Arabidopsis thaliana: one gene and its partner. The protein of the gene in region 1 purifies or fractionates together with the protein of each later gene. This does not show direct contact. Each region holds a gene or a part of one and is shown on either strand. Other genes may lie near its edges.

Region 1 (7,604 bases):
TGAGAGTAGTGGAAGAAATGGAGGATTTTTTTAACAAGGTCGTGAGGTTAATGCTTTTTTAGTTAATTGTAAATATTTTGATGAAGATTTTGTTACTTTGTTTTCCTTTGATTATGTGAGGTTTTTATTGTGCTATTAAAGTAGAATCTAAATGAAACTGGAAAGTTTGGCTTTGTTTCTAGATTTGGTGATCCAATATCTTGGTTTTATGTGAGAGGTCCGAAACAAGAAAGGAAGTTGTAATATTTGTTTTGATTGTGGTAACTGTAAATAAAAGTTAGTGGTCGAGACTAAAATTGAAAAATTATTATAAATTATTTTAAAAACTTAATACATAGTGGTTTTATTTTGTATAGAGATTACACTGAAAAAATGGTAGAAAACTTGAAATTTGTCATACAATTAATATTTTAGGTTAAATCTTTGTAGATGACTCTATCCACATTGATAAATGATAAGTATATCTGTCTTGTTTGGAAATAAAAAGGAAGCTTTTATAGATTTGGGCGTATTTCTCCAAATAATAGGAACAAGTAACACATTGGAATAAACCCCTTTATAAGAAAAAAAAATAACACATGTGAATGAACAATACACTAACCCTTTATCAATTTTTTGTTTTGTTTTAATAATACTACTATTCCTTTAAATTTTATTTCACAAAAATTTTCAAAAAAATAATTACAATTTTGCATCCTCAGAAAAATATGACGTGTTATTTTCAAAAGAAAAATAGAATTCTATATACAAACTGTCACCCTCTAAATATTTACCGCTTTTTGAATAGAGATGAGAAAAGTCTCAAACTCCAACCATTTATTTGAAGGCCATTCTAGGATGGCAAAAAAAAAAGATATGTTTATTTTCATTTTCTTGTTGACATCTAGTGATCACTGATCAGGCACGTTTCAAGTATCAAATATCGAGAGAGTACTTATACACGTGCTTACACTTTTTAGCCCCAAGAAAAATCGATTAGGAGTAATCACCAGTGGTCCTCATGTATCTGTCTTGCCATATTTTCACATACCTTTTGAAAACAAAGACTGTGTAGTGATCCCATTTCTTGTTAAAGTGCTCTTAGACTGTAAAAAGAGAAAACAAATTCTATGTACAAACATTGAATTCTAAATCAACTCACGACAAAAGAAAAAAGTAATCAGAAATCTAGATCAACTCTCTCCATTTTCAAAAGTAATTACAATGATTATCTTACCATTTAACACAATAATACGATTGACAAACACGAATCTTTTTTGCTTACCTTCGATGAATTAATATAAGCTATATAACAAAGGATCTTCAAGTCTTGGACGGATTTGGAATTGGAATTCTCTGGCCTTGGACTCTGTCAAGATCTTACCCCCGTACGAACCTACTTGGTGTGAGAAGAAAACCAAGCAGTGCTTTTGGAATTTATTGTGTATGTGTCGGATCTGACTTGGATTAGAGCTAATGGTGAATATATAAAGAAGATGAAGACAAGAGTTTCGTCTTTGTTGACGTACGAGAGAAAGATTAAAGACAATCATTTTGAGTCTCCTAAATGAATTTGTTTTTCTGAATTCTGACACTTAGTTTCTTTAGTCAAATCACTTTTGAAAAAGTGTAAAAGCGTCACTTTGTTTAACCGAATGGTCAATTTTTTGAAGATTAAAACTGGCTATTTCTAACCTTTTTTTTCTTCATGTTTTCTTGTTGTATATATATTGGCCCATTTCTCATAGACAAATCTCAAGAAAATGATAGTTCCTCTCCCTCCCCTCAAGAAAAGTTTTCATGCATTGTTTTTTTCTTTTCTTTTTTATTTTGTGAAAAAAGTTATTTCAAGTAAATAAGTGGTTTAGCATTCTAAACCGCTTGTTCAAAACCTACAAATCAAAGCAGCAGAAATCACAACAACGAGTTCTAACATTACAAGCGACACAATCATCACTAAAATTTAAATTGCATGAAAAAAGCCCCAAAAAAATAAAGTAAGCACTCCCTTTAACTTAAACACTCTTCCAAATGCTTGGAGAATAAAACCCAATATGTAGAGATTATTACGTACTGTAATCTTCACCAGTGTACAAAGTTGTCGCCGTGTGATGATTTTCAAGTAAACACAATATTTCCCAGGTTAGAGCTTCCAGATCTGAAATAAAATTGTTTCCAAGCTTTAACACTTCAAATATTGTGATAAATATGTTACAATATATATATATATATATATACACACCATATGTAACACACAAAGAAAATAACCATGATAGATTAGATACACCATATATATCTAACATTAAAAGCAAATAATCATAACATCTAAAAGGTAAAAGAACAAACAAAAGACAAAAGCTAGACATCTAAAATAGTAAAATGTATAACATCGAACCACCAATATCTTTTACTCTAAGACTTTTTACCAGACTCATATACTCACACACTCACAGAGTCACACACACACATAGTAATGATGTCTTGATGATTAGATAGACCACATTGCACACAAAAAGATATAATCATGACATCTAAAAGGTAAAAACAAACAAAACACAAAAGGCATGTGAAATGGATAACAATGAACCAACATAAACTTTTGTTTTAAGGGACCAACAGAAACTTATCAAAAGTATCTTTAATCGAAAGAATATTTAAATAGCAGAAAAATATATATCCTTACATGTTGGTATTTGCATGAATGAAACTAAATATCTGTTGGATGGAACTTGCTATGTCTTCTGCCGTAAACCTCGTTTCACTTGTTATCTGCACATATTTTACATCTACCTCATGTTAGCCATTGATAGTTATTACATATACTTTAACAATACAAATCCATAATCTATGATTATATTGAAAACCCTAAATAAAATTATAAATGTGTTTTATGACAGCTAATCCAGATTAGATAATTACATGTATTATTTGATGAGTCTAGATTTTGCATATGAAAGCTGAATATGAATGATGAATTACTTTTTAACATATAAACTTGCCTTGACATTAAAGGAGTAGAGGACGGTTTGTTCCATGGTAGTGATGTTAGTGTGAAGAATAGAGAGATGAAGATCCTCCAAAGCAGCTATAGTCTTAATCAGCTGTCCCGGCCTTCTTCTTGAAAGTATCTTGATCATGGCGTCAAACCCTAGCAGCTTCACCTCCACGTCAGCCAAGCACGACTTGTTCTCCGCAGTCTCCTCCCGAAGCCCTCCTCCGCCCTCTAGCTCGGTTACATTTCCCGTAATAATGAGCGGTTGTGCTTGGTTCGCTACCGTAGTTATGGGAGAAGAAGAAGAAGTCGTTGTCGTTGTCATGTCCCTACCGGTTTCTCCTAAGATTCTTCGACGCTTCTGTGATTCAAGACATTGTAGGAGTTGCTCGAGCTCTCTCACAAACTCTATTGCTCCTCCTATGATTGACGCTTGGTCTCCCTATTTTATACAATTAATATTTGGTGTAGACAGTATAATTAGTTGTACATATACATATAAAAAAACATTCACGAAAATTCTTTCTTTAAGATATAATTTATGAATATCATACCCTTTGAACGTAGGAGCCAGGCATGAGAGATCTAAGGACACGAAGATGCTCATTCATTTGCTTCCTACGGTTTCTTTCGACCGCGATATGAGTCATCCGTTGGCTTTCCACTTCTTCGCTGGTCTTGCTCGTTCTAGCTCTCTTCCTCTTGCTCTTCACCTCCTTTTTCGTAACATTCTTGTTCTCCCTATCTTCTTCTTCTCCTCCAATAAAACGTAGTTGCACGGAGTTGTTGTCGTTGTCATCGTCTTGATCTTCTTTTTCTTCAAGAAACACATTGCCTATGTTTCCTCCACACTCACCTCCTTCTTGAGACGTCTGATGAGAAGGCATGAGATGTTGGGTTTGGTTATGGTCCTCTATTTTGTCGTTCAAGACAGGGAACTTCAAGAAATAAACGGGGTCAATCCCGGTTTCTTGATCGTCTTGGTTTCTGGTCTGGTTCAACGCAAGTTTCGAACCGAAGTCCGCAAACTGCATCACATCAGAGAAGTTCATTTTATCAAAAGGTGTTGCTCCAAATCCGGAAGGAGAGAGTTGATGTTGCTGCTGTTGTGGCATCGATTGCTTTTGTTGTTGTTGAAGGTTTCTATTGAACATATAGTCTATCATACCAGAGCTGTTATCATCGTTACCGCCTGAGGATTCACCTAAGAAGTTTGGTGCCTAATAAAAACCAGAATTGGAGAATGAAGTTAATATCATAAGCAGGAAGATTTGAATCTTATACATAGATATCTATCAATTTGTATAAGAAAAGAGATTAAGGATCTTGAAATACTGGAAAAAAAAACGTACGTACCGAGTAATCTTTATCCATTGCTATTCGTGGTAGTTGATTATAAACTGCTTAAGTCTAATGAAGGTCAAGCTTCTTGACCTGATGACAACAATCCATGAGCTTCACAGTCAGTTTTAAAAACATATACATGAAACAAAAACACACGTAGAACAAGTTAAAACCAAACCTAGGCAGATTACATGTTTCACCATATACATATACATGTATTTTATATGTACAAAACAAGTTTTCAAATTGAATTTTGACAATTAAAAAAAATGATTAACACCAAATATATTAGAGCTTTGTTTAGTAAGGAGTTAACAAAATAAAAGGGACTGACCTTGTATGATTTGCTAGGGTTTACGAGAGATGTATATAAAAGACGCAAGACATGCAAGATAGTAGAAGAAGACGGATTAGAGAAGACAAAACTTAAAAAAGTGAGGGGAGCTTTTTGTATTGAGAAGTCATAAATGAGTAAGCATCACCAAGCTCCCATATTTATAGAGAGAGATACATTATACATGTGTACACAAGGTATAGCAAGGGGGCATTAAATTTCTTAAGTATGTATATTCGTAATCATTTGTTTCTCTAATTACTAATTAGGGTGTGAATGGTACACATTCGTGACCCAATAAAAACAAATTAAACGACTTAAAAAAAGATACGTAAACATGTTTCAAAAAAAAAAAAAACAATTTTCTAAAGAATAAAGATAAATGAAAATCTACATAAGTTAATCTAAAATATTGAGGATTAGTAGTAAGTAGTTTGATTGCAGTGGCTGTTTTATTCTACTATCATATTCCCATTAATTATCGAGACATCATTGTTTTTCGCAATTTTCTATGCATTCTCTTTTAGTTTCTAAAAGTAGAGAAATATCAACCATCACATAAAATGTTTTAGAAAATCTAAAAACTACAACCAAAAGATATCAATCGTGGGAAAAATGAATTTTCGTTACTATTGTCCTTTTTTATTGCTTTGTAAGAAAGAAAAAGGGATGTTATTATTGCCCTCTTATAATTGTTAGAGATACTTAATGCTTAGTAAAAAAAGCTTCCAATTGTAGCAGGATAAAGCCGTGCAGTCGGAAGTTCTCAATGTCTCCCCAAATGCTTTTGCAGAAAATCATGATTGGCTAATCAAAAGATGCTCATTCAATCAATCCCTTTGTATTATGCACATAATGTGTCAATATTAATTTTCATCCCATTTGATATATAAATATCATTACATATATAGTTATCTAGTTCTTCTCTATCTTCTACATAGAAACACATAACAATCCAAATTTTACGGTCAAATTTGAAATGGGGGATCTAGAGCAACTCCCTAGCTTATTTTGAACAAAAATTAAGTTCAATATTGACTCAAAAGAAAGATTATTGAATATTCCAAATCATATCTTGTTTTTGTAATAAATACTCTATTTCTTTTTGCGTTAGACGTAAGGGTGAGGAGCCACAAAATACGAAAAAAGAAGTAACGTGAAAACACACGTGTATCAGCTGATCACCTCTCTATCTATCTATCTTTTTTTTTTGTTTGTCAAACCATAAATGATAAGATTTGAGTTTTTAGAGTTCACAAGCCAAGGCCGCTCTTTTTCCACCGCTTTTCGTGAACTTAATCAAATCTCTATACGCTTCTCATCTTTTAGTTTATTTCTATAGTATTTCAAATTCAAGCACTTATATTAGTTATGTGTTGTCAATAAAATATGATTTCTAATAAAAATATTCTGGTCAAATATATGAAATTAGTTTCACGAACATGACCTATACTATTTGTGTGTGTACGTGGAGACATATACATTTAAAGAAAAAGACACTGGTGTGGATGGTTACGTTTTAACTTTTAACAAAAAGTGGAGTAAAAATTCACGTTGATCAATCCAGTGAACTTTTTCGGGAATAAGAGTCGCGGATCCATAGGAGTATTTTAGTAGGTGCATATTACACAAATACTATGTTGAAAAGAAAAAAAGAAACATGAAAGAGCTTGCATCGAAGCATCAACCAAAAAAAATACTTGCTGCAACCATTCCCAATTGAGCCAACAAAACAACTATTACGATACATAACACCCACAGGCCACAAGCATCGAAATACTGTAAGATATATAGATTTTAAGATCAAACTTCAATGATAGCGAGCGAAGAGACTGATTGATATACTCAATTCTTTTTTAATTCCAAAAGAATAATTTACATTCTTTTTTATCATAAAAAAAAGTAAAAAACATAAAAATTTGCATTCTTATACCATAAATTTATTGTCAATATACAAGTGCAGTTCAAACCAAGTAAACACACATATTTATTATATCTATATCATATACATACTTTTGTTTTGGACTTTTTTTTCCCACTCATATCAATAAATTTTTCTTTGAGTAGTAAATTTAACACTAAAAATTCACTAGTAAAACCACTTAGTGATGGTGATCCCAAAATCAATTTCCAAACTTTTATCACCACCAATATCATTACCAATTTTCAATTAATTTCACTCCTTTAAAAAGTGTTTTTCGCCTACTTTTTTCTTTAAGATATACAAATCTTTTTTATTAAGGAATCTAAAAAAAGCATATTGTTAGATGAATCCAAGTAAAACTAAGTCAACAGTTTTGTAAGTTATAAGTTGTAACTCTATAGATTTAAGAGAAATGAGGTCAAATGGCACAAAAAAGCTTTCAGTAAGCCAATGACAATTGCTCTCTCATATATTTTACCAAGTTAATGAGAAACGTACCCCTCCATTACACCTTATCTTCCTCTTTACAAAAATGTTTTTTTTTTGTTTTTGCATTTCATCGTTTTCTTTCCGCTTTGTTCTCTTAATAATCTAAATTGATTCAATCTTGCGTTCTTTTTCTTTTTTAACAGTTTACATTTTTTATGTATGTCATAATTTTCTATTTTAAATAAGAGACATAAATTACTTGACATATTAGTAAGTGACTCTAAAGGAGAACTCAAAGCTTTTATTTAGAACACATATAGTAAACTTTAACGCGTAATGTAAAACTATTATAGGCATATTCAGGAATTACGAAAAATTTGAGGTAGCTGCGTGAGATTATAATACGAGTACTCTATACCAGTTTGGAATCATACATGAAGTTTGGAAGCTTCAGGTACCTAGTTCACTACTAATAATAATTTGCTTTCTACAATTTTGTATCGGAAATTTTAATTGAGATTGTTAATTTAAATTTTGTGTGCCAACAAAAACTTAACTTTTAAAAAATATTTTTTAAAATTAATTGATTTTTCTTATACATA
Region 2 (7,612 bases), 4.1 Mb from region 1:
TACTATCTAACAGCAAAATACAATCAGTGAACAGCCTCGCATCGCCATTACAGAAAAATAAACATAAAACAACACTTGCTTGGCTTCATTCATCAAACATGCCGATTAGTCTAGAAAACGTTGTGGATGAAAGAAAGAAAGATAGTGTTGATTTCAACCATTAATCCGCAGCACAAACAATTAAGAAATGGAAACAAAATCAAAGAGTTTTCAGCACAAACAGACGCAAAAAAAGGAAGGCATAACAGTGAATCAAAGATACAATCATCTGCAATCATGAAATAGGATCTCCAACGTATTCGAGCTAGAGCTAGGTATTCCAGTAAAACAAACCCTAAATCATCAAATTCCCAATAACGCGGAAGAATAAAGAAGCAATGAAGATAAACTAAAAATCCAGATATAAGAATCGAAGAAGAGGATATTTACCTCAGAAAGCTAACCCGATCAGAAACCAAAACGCCTCTGCAACACCGATTAAAGAAATGCTTCCGAAAGGAGAGGGACGAGCTCGATTAGTTTCCAACGCAGCGAGTTAGGGTTTCGGAGAGAGCTAGGGTTTACGAGGAGAGAGTGACGGTAAACGATTCACCATGAATCTAAAGAGCGAAAGATAATCGGAGAGAGTGATCGGAGCTGAGCTAACTCTTTGATTTTCCGCAGGAAGCAAAATCATGAAAGGAAAGAACAGCTAGCTACACGAAACAGATCGTTGTGTAGAGTACCAATCACCTACGGGCAAGTGCATGGTACAACTATATTTGGGCCTTAATGGGCTCAACATGGGCTATAAACTGAGTTTGAGAAACTTTATAGGCCTCAACTTTTGAATGTCAAGCTTTTATGTTTTCTTTTTCTGTCTTTTCTTTCTTTTCTTTGATCGATCATTTTACCTTAGCCATTAAGAACTTCTAAATCTTTTAACACACATAAAACATAAAGGATCAAGCCTTCGATTGTAATTTACCTTTATTTCATTTGTGGAAAGAAATCAGCAAGAATAAAGAGTTTTTGTAAAAGCAAGTAACCTGAAGCAAAGGATACTTCAAATTCGAAATGAACTTTTAAAAGGGTATGGTTTGCTTAATGATGGGGATAATGTTAACTTGACTTTCAAAATGGGTTATAATGAAAGTGCTTAAGCCTTGAAGGAGACAGAAAAGGTTGGGGGAAAAAGCATTAATAGGCTTAGTTGGAAAAACAACTCTATAAAGTTTAAATGATTATTTAATAATAACAAGCTTGAATCTAAATATTACATGCTTCATTTGCATGTCTCATCATCACTTGTTTTTATTTTTGATAAAATCACTTTATACCTTTTTTCAGTTTCTAAGGTGCAATATGCTATTTGTCACCATAAAGCTAGGCATAAATACTAATGATCATAATTGATCAAATTAAATATATAATCAGAAAAGCATCACTAGAAAAATACTCCAAAATTACTTAAACATGGATTAGTTGGAGAATTCTGAAATATTATTAAAATGATGAAATACAAAAAAACTGGTGTGGCCAATAAAAAGTATAAGAGTTACATGTATGAAACATTACACTTTTCAAAGTTGTACCTCTCTAATTAGCAATGGAACATACACTTTTTTTTTTTTTTTTTGACAACTTAGTGTCCAGACCACACAGTGATCTGACTAGTCCACTGGGTTTAAGCCCGCGACCAGGAATTTTTAAACATCTACTTAATGGCTCCCTGGAACTGGTGGTCTGAGGCGCTAGAGCAAATCCGCATGTTAATTCTCTGGTGACCAGAAATCGAATCCGGGTGTCGGACGTCTCAGTCGAGGTTCCTTTACCACCAGACCACGATACCTGGTTGGAACATACACTTGAAAAAGATAAGACAGAAATCTTAAGACTATACGAGTATTATGTTCAATTTAACATGGGGTGAAAGAGAGATCATCATAAAGTATTATTTGTAACGGATAGGTCATAGTTATAGCTATAAGATACGAGCTAACATTAAAATGGAAAGAGAAAGAACAATATCAAACAAGAAAACACAGATCATTCACGTGGTATGGTAAAAATTAAATTAATTTATATTTTGCAGTATCGGATCTGATCATTCATTGCTATAAAAACTGTTTTCTTTTGTCCTAATTTAAAAAAATGTTTCAGCTGTATTAGTGAAAAAAATAGAGAAAGCAAGCCAAAAAAAAAACTAAAAACATTAACTACGAATTGTAAAATAGTGTATGGTAAGAAACTCCACAGAGTGTAGTTAATTCTCGCCCGTTGCTTCACGGCGCTCCTGTGACCAAATCTGACATTATATAGACTCGTAAATATTCCTTTTTAGGTTTTTGCATTCATATTTGAATGCAGTTGATTTAAAATAATTTAAACGACTAGTTGCCTCTAAATGTTTGAATAAATTAGGAGTAATTACCAACTAGTAACATTCTGTCACATTTCCCAGAGTCACTGTCTTAAATTATGAAATACTCGTTATTGAGAAAATTGACAGATAACAAAATGGATTAGTTATTTGGTTTCCTTTTTCTTTTCCTTTATTTGGGTGCAAAATTAGACAGCCAAAATCATTTAAAAATGCACGTGTCAATATGTGGCCACACCATGGATATTTTGCACGGCTTCATTATTTCTATGAAAATAGTTTTATTTGTTCTTTTTTTTAAAAAAAAGCAAGAAAAGGGAAAAGAGAATAAAGAAAAAAAACTAGGAAATAAAGAAGAGAATAACATTTGAAATTTTCTTGGTCCGATTTCTTCACTCTCAAAGCAGTAAAATTGAAGAATATACTACTAGTTATGTTAGCAAATGAAATACAAGACGATTCAAAACTAAGTAATTTAATATAAATAATAAATCAAAAGTTGACAAAATGCGGATATTAAAAAATAGCAATAAAGCTGTAGAACTATTCAATTGGTTAATCTATGTTAGTAAAAACTGTGTTACGTTTTTGTTTTTTTTTGGTTTTGGTCATAATAATCCATAAGTATCAAACTTAAAGACGAATCTGAAAATAGCCATTACTGTTTTTTTTTCTCTGAAGAAAAAGAAAAGAGTAGAGCTTTTTTGTTTAATATAGGAATTAGGAAGGAGGAGGAACACAACACCACACTTGTGCGCAAACTTTCACAGTGTCCGACGATCTCAAAGCCCAAATATCAAAGCTCTTCTCTCTCTCTATCTCTCCCCAAAAATTCGTAGCTTTTTTGCATTTTGCTTCTGCATTCGGCTTTGGATTTCATAAAGTGTTGAGATTTAAGAGTGTATCTCACTCAATCTCTCTGATAAGAGCTTTCAAGCCACAAGTAAACCGACCCAGAGAGTTTAAAAAAAAAGAAGAGTCTTTAATGCGAAGTCGTTTCTAGGTCTGATCTACAGATCCTGGTACCCTAATTTTCCCCTGCCGCAACGGTCTCCTCCTTCCCTTCGCCGTCATTTCACCGGTGGGGTTTTACATCTGAATCTCTGTGGTTGAGAGAAAAGCAATCGACTTTAGTGAGTGTTGAGTTTATATATTGGAAGGTAGAAGTTGAAGTGCGTAACTACTGTTGCAAAAAAAGGTACAAATTATGAGCCTTTTTGGGTTCTCATTTCTTAGATTTGATTATTTTTGGTGGAGGAAGTGACTTGGGTTTCATTCTTCTAAATTCTCAGGTCGAAATTGAAACTCTTTAGTGAGTGATAGAGATGCTGACATGCATAGCTTGTACGAAGCAGCTAAACACCAACAATGGTGGATCTAAGAAACAAGAAGAGGATGAAGAAGAAGAAGACAGAGTTATTGAAACACCCAGGTCTAAGCAGATTAAGTCCCTGACGTCACAGGTAGAGATAAACATTCTTCCTCTGTGTCACTTTCACGAAAAAAAAACACAAATGAGAAAAGGACCATTTTTTGCTCTTGTTGGTTTCTGTTTGGAAGCTAAGAACAAATCAATTTAAGTCCGTGACTTTCAGAATGTTTTTCACTGTGTATTTAATTTTGTGAATAACATGTGATTCTTGTATGTGAATCTTCAGATTAAAGACATGGCAGTAAAAGCATCAGGTGCTTACAAAAGCTGCAAACCGTGTTCTGGGTCGTCTAATCAGAATAAGAACCGAAGCTACGCTGATTCGGATGTTGCTTCGAATTCTGGGAGGTTTCGTTATGCGTACAAGAGAGCGGGGAGTGGAAGCTCAACACCGAAGATTTTGGGGAAGGAAATGGAGTCAAGGTTGAAAGGTTTTTTGAGTGGAGAAGGAACACCTGAATCCATGAGTGGTAGGACAGAGTCTACAGTGTTCATGGAGGAAGAAGATGAGCTCAAGGAATGGGTTGCTCAAGTGGAGCCTGGTGTCCTCATCACATTTGTATCATTGCCTGAGGGAGGGAATGATATGAAGCGGATTCGGTTCAGGTAATTTTTAACTGTTTTGTAGGATTTACACTAAGTAAAAGTTTGGATATTGGACTTAATCAAGATGGTACAATATGTTTCCAATCAGGAATATTGAAGATGATACTCAAATGAACTAATCCATACTGTTTTGAAATTGTTTAATTTGATTTTGGAAGTAGAGATGTGTGGTTCTTGGAGACAAGCAATGTGAGAGTACAGTTGATATTTAGGATATTATTATGTGAGATTTCTGTGTTGGAAACTGTTGCTGCTTTCATTTTTCTTGAATCGATTGAAGTGGTCCCAAACCATTTCTTATAATTATGAGAACTTGTACATCCTTTTTGCCAAGAAAGGTCTTTGAGATGTGGGTTATATTTCGGTAGTTGAATCCGATGGAGAACTTAAATGAATTCCCCAAGGACAATTGTGTGGGGAAGTGTTTGTGAATTTCGTAAAGTTCTTTTTGTATGTGGAACATATAATGAGAGCAAGATGATCTAACTAACTTTCTTCATGGCAAGAGGAACACTTCAGCTCCCTAGGATTGATATTTCTAGATTCTAGTTTTGACAATTTACTGCAGATCCCTTGAGTTTTGTGAACCTAAGACTGTTAACCTGGTAGCTCTTTGGTTCTGTATTGTATATGGTTAAGTCAGCTCCTAATTTGTTGATTTCTTCAAATTTGTATTACTTGCAGCCGTGAAATGTTCGATAAATGGCAAGCTCAAAAGTGGTGGGCGGAGAATTTCGACAAGGTCATGGAATTATACAATGTACAGCAGTTCAATCAGCAGAGCGTCCCACTTCCAACTCCTCCTAGATCTGAAGATGGGGTATATGCACCCTCTTCACTTCTGAACACATGAATCTACTCATCAAAACCTGTCTTTGATACTTTGAGGTCTAACTAGTTTTAATTTGGTATACCAGAGCTCGCGAATTCAGTCTACCAAGAATGGTCCTGCAACTCCACCTCTGAACAAAGAATGCTCTCGAGGAAAAGGCTACGCTTCTTCTGGCTCACTCGCTCACCAACCAACAACCCAAACACAAAGTCGACACCATGATTCATCTGGTCTTGCTACAACACCAAAACTCTCTAGCATAAGTGGGACAAAAACCGAGACATCATCTGTTGATGAGTCTGCAAGAAGTAGCTTCTCAAGGGAAGAAGAAGAAGCAGATCATTCAGGGGAGGAGCTATCTGTAAGTAATGCAAGTGACATTGAAACAGAATGGGTGGAACAGGACGAAGCAGGTGTTTACATCACAATCAGAGCTTTACCAGATGGGACTCGCGAGCTTAGGCGTGTTCGCTTCAGGTAAAGATACATTACTTTCTCTGTTCCTTAGTAAAACCCTTTCAAAAGCAAGCACTTTAACAACATTGTCTTTGTGGTTGTAGCCGAGAGAAGTTTGGGGAAACGAATGCAAGATTGTGGTGGGAGCAGAACAGAGCTCGGATACAACAACAATACTTGTGATGACCGATGACGGTCGAAGGCTCTCTAGAGAAGAATCTGACACACACCAAAACAAAACACTTTTCTTTTATATGTTTTACTTGGAAAAAAGCTACAGAGTGATGGAAATAACTTGGGATTCAGATAATGAATGTGCTTTTTAGTTGGTGGTTGTTAGTACATCTCTTTCTCTTCTTTCTCATCTACATCTATCTATAAAGAGGAGGTATTAGTTTTACTGGATTTTCTTGGTGTTATTTTCTTAAGGTAATGTACTGTATATAGTTTAATACTAAGAAAATTCATATTATTGGATTTGAAAATTACACTTTGTGCACTTTATTACTTTTTCTCTAATTATATTGACCATGATTGGTGCTAATAATTATGGCATGTACTTAAATGTTCTGAATAAGAAATGTATAAAGTAAAAACCAGTTAAATTGCCAGCTAACTTGTATCTCCTTAGAAATTTCCATTTCTCACTTCTCCTTTGACTAATCTTTCTATTGAGTTATATTAAGGGTAAAATAGTCAATTAGGTTTATCCAATTAGTGAATTTGGAACCAATTTTTTCGACGCGTGAGAATAAATCCTAACTTCTTTTTTTTTTTTGTTCTCTTAAAGCCGTTCCCTCTTCTCTGTACTCGAAACCCTAGTAGTTGCTCTATCCGATTTTAGGGTTTAAGAGTCGAATCATTAGCATCTACCTTGATTACGCTGATCTCACTTGGTTTCGCTACTCGATCCTTGAATTTCTTTGTTTTTTGTGTGTTTCGGTTTATTCGATACGTCTTTGATCCGTAATGGTGACTGGGTCCAGAACTAGCGGTAATCGTGGGGTAGGACTCGATGATGAAGCGAAAAAGATGATTCAATCGATTAAGGAAGTTGTGGATAGTCACTCCGATGCTGATATTTACACTGCCTTAAAAGAAGCTAACATGGATGCTAACGAGGCTGTGGAGAAGCTGATTCATCAAGGTTTCTTCTCTCTTCATCTCTTTTTCTGCTTTCCTAGTTTGACGGAAGTTAGGGTTTTACTGTTTGTTCTCTGGTCCGCATTATCTTGATCACGATGAATGCTACAACATCTTGTTTGAGGCGTATGTAGAATGCTGTAGATAGGTTATGCAAATTTCGTTTGATGGAGTTCTGTTGATAATTCGATAGATGGATAACTCTTGTTTTCATTTCGATAATTTGTCAATTCTCTTCAGAATACTTCAATTACTATATACTTGAAATATTATTGGTCTTCTTTTCTTGGCTCTCGTTTCGTTGGGTGACTAATATGTGTGTTATTGTTGCCATCATAGTTTTGGTTCGCTAAAAAGCTTTTGTTTTGTTCAGATCCATTTCACGAGGTGAAGAGAAAAAGAGACAGGAAAAAAGAGGTGAGGTTACATATAACTGTTATGGTATCTTGTTCCCAGTTCTTCTCCTTTTTAACATTTTTGCCAATGCAACCACATTGTAGTTTTTTTGTTTGACTCTCCTTAGTCTTTTCGAAACTGCATTTGAAGAAGGTGACTAGATTTTTCATAATGTTAGTTGTGCTTGTGTGACTATTATATCTCATCGGATGTCTGCTGTGGCAAGCTATATTTTTTTTTTGTTTTGTTTAGTATTTTGTGTGCCTTCTAATTTAATTGATCGTCAAAAAAAATTTCAACTTTTCTAGCCATTCAAATAGTTTGATGAATTTGTAGAGATCATCAAGACACCTCTTGTATAACCTCTGATTTTTAGGGCGTTCCT

The links. Proteins that work in one complex are often made in the same cells at the same time.
Region 2: the proteins of FMA (region 1) and ATBRXL2 purify together in Arabidopsis thaliana (affinity purification with mass spectrometry, with the first as the bait; one study listed by BioGRID). This does not show direct contact.

What each region holds. Positions count from the first base shown.
Region 1 is NC_003074.8:8,713,428-8,721,031, forward strand, and holds FMA (basic helix-loop-helix (bHLH) DNA-binding superfamily protein), read right to left. Parts: upstream 4,785-7,604; 5' UTR 4,650-4,784; intron 4,406-4,649; 5' UTR 4,346-4,405; coding exon 4,328-4,345; intron 4,192-4,327; coding exon 3,526-4,191; intron 3,414-3,525; coding exon 2,979-3,413; intron 2,749-2,978; coding exon 2,663-2,748; coding exon of another isoform or gene 2,659-2,662; exon of another isoform or gene 2,138-2,658; coding exon 2,098-2,137; 3' UTR 1,691-2,097; downstream 1-1,690. UniProt on the Arabidopsis thaliana protein: Transcription activator. Together with MYB88 and MYB124, ensures that stomata contain just two guard cells (GCs) by enforcing a single symmetric precursor cell division before stomatal maturity. Together with SPCH and MUTE, regulates the stomata formation.
Region 2 is NC_003074.8:4,629,429-4,637,040, reverse strand, and holds ATBRXL2 (DZC (Disease resistance/zinc finger/chromosome condensation-like region) domain containing protein), read left to right. Parts: upstream 1-2,959; 5' UTR 2,960-3,560; intron 3,561-3,626; exon of another isoform or gene 3,627-3,654; 5' UTR 3,655-3,687; coding exon 3,688-3,825; intron 3,826-4,020; coding exon 4,021-4,400; intron 4,401-5,084; coding exon 5,085-5,220; intron 5,221-5,317; coding exon 5,318-5,709; intron 5,710-5,792; coding exon 5,793-5,871; 3' UTR 5,872-6,176; downstream 6,177-7,612. Other genes in the region: AT3G13990 (dentin sialophosphoprotein, putative (DUF1296)), read left to right, coding at 6,658-6,835, 7,205-7,248.